Sus scrofa: one gene and its partner. The protein of the gene in region 1 binds, or shares a complex with, the protein of each later gene. Links are inferred from orthologs where the notes say so. Each region holds a gene or a part of one and is shown on either strand. Other genes may lie near its edges.

What was found.
Region 2: the proteins of ACTL7A (region 1) and TES are in contact, whole or in part, in a crystal structure (PDB 2XQN), measured with the Homo sapiens proteins. The link is inferred for Sus scrofa from reciprocal best matches to the Homo sapiens genes ACTL7A and TES. Residues at the interface, in NP_006678.1 of Homo sapiens: Leu28, Gln29, Thr30, Ala31, Ser32, Leu33, Arg34, Asp35, Gly36, Pro37, Ala38, Lys39, Arg40, Ala41, Val42, Trp43, Val44, Arg45, His46; in NP_056456.1 of Homo sapiens: Asn311, Glu312, Tyr313, Thr314, Gln315, Ala316, Glu317, Leu323, Phe326, Leu335, Ala336, Gly337, Glu338, Ile339, Tyr340, Val341, Tyr353, Pro370, Glu371, Val372, Gln373, Arg374, Val375, Thr376, Tyr377, Ala384, Phe389, Leu398, Ile399, Gly400.

The regions. Positions count from the first base shown.
Region 1 is NC_010443.5:249,881,740-249,885,281, reverse strand, and holds ACTL7A (actin-like protein 7A), read right to left. Parts: upstream 2,036-3,542; 5' UTR 1,972-2,035; coding exon 652-1,971; 3' UTR 522-651; downstream 1-521. UniProt on the Homo sapiens protein: Essential for normal spermatogenesis and male fertility. Required for normal sperm head morphology, acroplaxome formation, acrosome attachment, and acrosome granule stability.
Region 2 is NC_010460.4:29,895,311-29,898,251, forward strand, and holds the end of TES (testin), read right to left. Parts: intron 1,823-2,941; coding exon 1,634-1,822; 3' UTR 568-1,633; downstream 1-567. UniProt on the Homo sapiens protein: Scaffold protein that may play a role in cell adhesion, cell spreading and in the reorganization of the actin cytoskeleton. Plays a role in the regulation of cell proliferation. May act as a tumor suppressor. Inhibits tumor cell growth.

The DNA.
Region 1 (3,542 bases):
TTTTAGGGCTGCACCTGTGGCATACAGAAGTTCCTAGGCTAGAGGTCAAATCAGCTGCAGCTGCCAGCCTACACCACAGCCACAGCAACGTGGGATCCAAGCGCAATCCACGACCTATGCCACAGCTCACGGTAACGCCAGATCCTTAACCCACTGAGCAAGACCAGGGATTTAGCCTACATTGTCATGGAGACTATGTCAGATCCTTAACCCACTGAGCCACGATGGGAACTCCATCTATCTAATCTATCTTTATCATAACTCCCCCTTGCAAGCAGAGTTTAACAGTACTATAGTGGGGAATGCATAAAAAAAGGGACAGAATAATTTCAGAGGTAGTTTGTCCCCCAAATACTTAAGCGATCAATATAGAATGCATGTTTTTTTGGTTCATAATCACCCCCCTTGCTCCCTTCCCCTCACCCCAACCCCTGCTTCTGTTTTGGCAAATGTATATTTTAAGGTAGATGCTACAGGTATGACGATCTCCTTGCATCAGAAAATAGAGAAACACACAATGGTGGAGGGAAATATGAGGACTGTTTAATACTGCAGGAGTGAACATGCTGGCTCATTTCCCTGTGTATGGGATGGGTGGTCACCCAGCAAAGCTGATGCATGGCAACCAGAGCAACCACGCTTCAGCAGTACTTAGAAGCACCTTCTGTAGAGGAAGAAAGGCCCATGTTCCTCATACTCAAAACGGTGGACCCACAGTGGCTGGAAGCCCTGAAGCGAGGCCAGGATGGAGCCCCCCGTCCACACAGCAGTATCTCTTTCGGGCAACACGTTTACCTGGGGGGTATCATTGGGACACATGCTGCTCAGCTCCTTCTGCAGACGGTTAGGGAAACCGCTGAGCATGGTGCTCCCCCCGCAGAGCAGGATGTTCCCCATGAGGTCTCGTTTGAGGGCGACGTCACACTTGTTAAGGCAGGACACCGTCTGGGTGTGGAGGCCCAGCTGCATGGACTTGATCAGAGAAGGCTTGAAGAACATCTCTGAGCAGAGGAACCTTTCCTGGCACAGGTATATCTGCTGCCCATCTGGCAGGGTGTACTGGATCGTGTGCTCGTTGGCTGGGACTTTCTTCTCTTCAATGGGGTCCAGGGCCACAAAGCAGCATTTCTTCTTGATGTCCTCCACAGTGCACAGCTGGTCCTCGGTGAAGTGTTTCCCCGAACTGTTCATCAGGCTCATCAAGTAAGTGGTCAGGTCAGAACCCGCGTAGTCCAGTCGTCCAGTGATACTGGGCAAAGGATAGCCCTCATAGATGGGGACGACGTAGGACACACCATGGCCCACCTCCACAACCAGGCCGGAGGTCCTCCCGTAGGAATACATGGACAGGCGGGACTGGTAGGCGATGTGCATCGCGGGAGTTTTGAAGGTCTCAAACAGCATCTCCGCGTACTTCTCTCTGTTGGTGTGTGGGCTCAGGGGTGGGTCCGAAACCAAGACTGCGTGCTCTTCAGGGGCGATCTTCATCTCTTGGTGGAAGAGATATTCCCAGATATCCTGCACCGTATCCCAGTCCACGATGATGCCATGTCTCAGAGGATTCATTAGCTTGAGACGAACCTCTGGGTTGATGAGCTCGTGCCCCACAAATGTCTCCTTGCGATTGTCCCCAGTTTTGGCGGTCTCCATGTAGGGCTTGCCCACCGTCGAAGAGATCCTATGGGTGGGCTTTGGCAGCCCGGCAAAGCCGCATTTACAGTAGCCCGTGCCAAGGTCCACGACTACTGCTTTGGTCACCTCCAGCTTGGGCTTCTTGACTGCTGGCGATTTAGTAGGTTCTTCTGTCTCCGAATGGTTGCGGCGAACCCACACTGCCCGCTTCGCTGGGCCTTCCCTCAGGGAGGCCGTCTGGAGGCCCTGGGTCTGCAGGGAGGCCTGTTCACCCCCTCCCTTGGAAGGCCCATCCCCTATGATTGCCGCCTGTGGAGCCCACATGCTCTCAAGAGCCATCTTGTTCTCAGAAAGTTCCTCAATCCCACAGGCTTCAAGGCCTGAAAGACTTAAATGAGAGGGCAACTTGAGAATTTCCCCAATGATGACATCACTGATTATGACATAATCCGGTGACCCAGGGCTTCCCAGATACTGGGAAGTTTGTCCTGTGTTAGGGTAGATTTGGGATAGTGTTTTTGAGGTGACTTACTCTTTTCTAAATTTTGTAATAAACCCTGTTTATCCAATCAGTTAATATTTTTTGAGTGCTGTGTACAAGGCAGGCAGCAGTTAAAAAAAAAAAAAGGCAAAAATCTCTGCCCTTTAGAACCGACGTTCTAGTCAGTGGGGGTTGGGGAGAGACAGGCAATAACCAAAATAAATATATGTTGGAAAGTGTTAAGAGCAAAATGGAAAAGCAAAGCAGGGAAGGGAGCAGGGCAGGGTGGCTGTGTTCATGTGCTTGGGCAGGGCTCCCTGAGACAGTGACACTTGAGTGAAGACCTGAAGGGGTCAGGGAGGGCTCCACGTGTGTCTTGGGGAGTGGCAGGTGCAGATGACAGGGGTTTAGAGCAGGGGTCTACAAAATCAGACCTGCGGACTGTTTTTATAATAAAGTTATATTGGATCACAGCTATGCTCACTCATTTACATATTGTCAATGGCTGCTTTTGTGCTACAACCTCAGAGTTGAGTCATTGCAATAAATACTCTATGGCCTGTAAAGCTAATGATGAATATTGACCATCTGGCCCTTTATAGAAAAAGTTTGCTGATCTCAGAGTCAGAGGATCCCAAGACGACCAGTGTGGCTACTGTGGAGAGAGCCCAGAAATGTGACATGGGAGGAGGGCTGGGGGAGGGTGAGCGGCTCAGACCTCACAGGCCATTGCTAGGACTTTGGCTCTGACTCTCTGTGAGGTTGAAAGCACTGGAGAATTTTGAGCAGAGAGTTGACACTATATGATTTAGATTTCAGCAGGACCAATTGCGGCTGTGGTGACTCTGCCCAGCAATTTTGTCCTGCTTGTTTCTTAGGGCGACCTTCAGAGGAATTACTGCAGACACTCATTTGCACACATACTCCTCCTTCGTCCAGGTCATTGGGTTGGCAATGAAATTAGACCCTATAGTCCCACTGATGAGAACATCAGGGGTCCTGGGTGCATAGCTCCCCCAAGGATATCCAGCCAGCAGTGTCAAGCTCTGCTAACTACAACTTCTTCCCAGGGGTTTCCTATGGACACATCATGATGGGACCTGACACATGTCTCTGAGGCTGCTTGGCTGCTGTCTCACATGTCATCTCTGAAGCCAGGCATGTTGGTGCTGACACCTGATGCTCTCAGGGCACCCAGAACCCTGCCTTAGGTTATATAGCACCATGCTCTCAATAAAAGAGGCAGTCACTGCAATGGTGGGCTTTCTTTTTTAAGGAAGTTACTGGGATGTTCTTTGTTCCTTTTGGGATGTGAGAGAAGAAAATGGCCAAGTCCAGTCTCATGAGCCTTGTGACTATCTGATGGGGGCAGTTTCTTAGTTCAATGGGGAGAGGAGGAGATGGCCTTGAATTTTGAAAGACAGATAAT
Region 2 (2,941 bases), on another chromosome or scaffold:
CTGAAGAAAAAATCAAAATCAAATTATTCTGGGTATGTGTCACAGAAAAGAGCTACTCCCACTATGATATAAATAGTTCAGACTGAGGGGAAAAAAAAAATCTCATGACCTACTAATATTAGGAAGAATGAAACTACTACTCTTCCATGTTCACTTCCTTTCCTCAATATATTGCCATGAAAAAATTCTTAGAAAATCAAATAGAGCTGCAATTTGAGTGTAAGAGTAATACTTGTTAGATTCACCTCAAGAGAATATAGCTTTCCCAAACTTCAATTAAAATGATACTTTCCTTCTTTTGCAAAGAAAAAACTCCTGCATAACTTGAAAACCAAGAATTTAAATAGTTTATTATAAAGTTTCATAAAACATACCTTCACCATAATGAAAAGCCTAGTTTCTGTCCTTTCTCGTTAGAAATTGTCTTTATTTTGGAGGCCTATTTTTTATCTTTGGAAACACTGCCCCCTGCTGTAACAAGTGCTTAATTGCAAAAGGATTTTTTTTTTTTTTTTTTTTTTTTTTTGCTCTCAAATGAAAGGGATATGAAGAATAGAGGTACAATCATTAAAGTGAAAGAGATTTTATTTTGAATAATAATATCATATCATTCACTCCATTTAATTTTCATACTGCATAGCTATGTATGTAAATATATAGGGAAAAATAAACATTAGAAATACATAAGGATGGAAGTATACAGGCAAAAAAGACATTTGATATATACCCATGAATAGGTGTCAGAGGACAGTATCTATTAGAAAAGAATGAAAATCAAGCAAAAAGTCCATCCAAATCACAGCAGGTTAGTGAAAATAGTACAAATTATATAGCTTCCTGGATACAAAAAGTGTGCTGTTCTTTGGATTGAAGACAATATAAATGAGTGGCTTATTTTATGTCCAAGCCAAAAATCACTTATAAAAGTAAAAAATGTGGATGCCACAAGTGACAATAAAATATTCAAGGCCACAGATAGAGGTCACCAGCTTAGAAGAGAATACTGAGAGGTAGAGCAAATTAAAAAAATAGAGATATGCAATAAAGCCGCCTCTGCCTATGTTAGGAAATAGCAAATGCATAGGTATTAAAATGATAAAAGCTCTTCATACTTGCTGCATTTCTATCTTCTCTGTCACAGGAATTCACCATGTATCATGCTACAAAATTGAGTGAATAAGATGAAGTGATAAATGTAAGGCCTTGACATTAGGGCAAGTTTAATTTCCTTTTCATTTTTATAGAAGAACGGAAAAGGAATACAGAACATGAAATGCTTATCTTTCCATTCAAATACTGGCTTTTAAATGTTTCATATATACTGTGTTGGCACAAAGAGGGTAGAAATATGAAGACTGATCAAACCCAAACTTCCAACTCAGAAGGTTTTACATCTAGAAAGCTAAGAAAAGGTAAAATATTTTACCATTTTAAAAATCAAATGCTTAAGGCAGGTTTTAAAAATTGTGATGAGAAAAAAAATTGGTAAAACAGCAAAGAAAGATACTAAACAAAATCTCCTGGTTTCCTTTAGAGTTTCTTTTTTTCTGTTTATTTTTCCAAATTGCATTTTACAGTAGAAATGCAGACCCCTCTGGAGAGCTATGGCTCAATACTGTTTGGTGCTCTCCTCTTAAGACATCATCTTCTTACACTCCACTGAACAGAACACCATCCCTTCTACTGGCATGAACTTCTGCCCAATGAGACACTTGCTGCAGCAAGAGCACAGAAAGCATTCTGTGGACGCGTGCCAACTGAAGTTGTTATAGGTCACCCGCTGTACTTCTGGATCAATGGCATTGTGGCATCCTTGACATACCTGTTAAGTCAATTATACAAAGAAAAGAGGATTAGAGCTCAAACTGTGATGGTAACATTTTCATGTGAGAACAAGCTCAGTGCATTTCTCCAGATGGTAAATTAAACTGAGAATGAGAACTTCAAAGATAGACAACCGAGAATGACCTTCTAGTTAACCCTCAGAGCCAACAACTGTCACTGCAGGTCTACATGCGGAACACTGAGAAATAACAGATAAGTCCAAACAGGATGTCCCTACAGTGTTCAAGGCAGAGAGTCTTAATGGCAAGTACCAAAGCAGTGTGTTCGGTCCCAGCATATTCTATTAGATTGCACATTTTTAGTAATTATTAGGAAAATTTTTTTATGGTTTTTTCCTATACCACCAAATGCTGGCAATGATGTGGAACAACAGGAACTCTCATTCACTGCTGGTGGGGATGCAAAATGATACATCCAATTTGGAAGACAGTTTCTTATAATGAAACTAAACATACTCTCACCACACAACCCAACAATCGTGCTCCTTGCTATTTCCCTAAATGAGTTGAAAACTTAGGTGCATACAAAAACCTGTGCATGGATGCTTTATTTGTAACTGCCAAAACTTGGAAGCAACCAAGATGTCCATCGGTTGGTAAATGGATAAACTATGGTACATTCATACTATTCAGAGCTAAAAGGAAATGAGCTATCAAGCCAGGGAGGAACCTTAAATACACATTATTAAGTAATAGAAATGCTACATACTCTGTAATTCCAACTATATGACAATCTAGAAAAAGCAAAACTATGGAGATGCTACATACTCTATAATCTGGAAATGCTACATACTCTATAATTCCAACTATATGACATTCTAGAAAAAGCAAAACTATGGAGAAAATAAAAAGATCAGTGGTTTTGAGGGCTAGGCAGTACAGGAGGCAGGCAGGGAGGTGGGAGAGATGAATAGGCAGAGCACAGGGGGCTTTCAGGCCAGTGAAAATATTCTATATGATATTACAATGCTCGATACATGTTATTTGTCCATTCTATACATTTGTCCAAACCCACAGAATACACAATATCAAGAATGAACCCTAAGGTAAACTATGGATTTAGGATGATTATGATATGGCCATACAGATTCACCTTG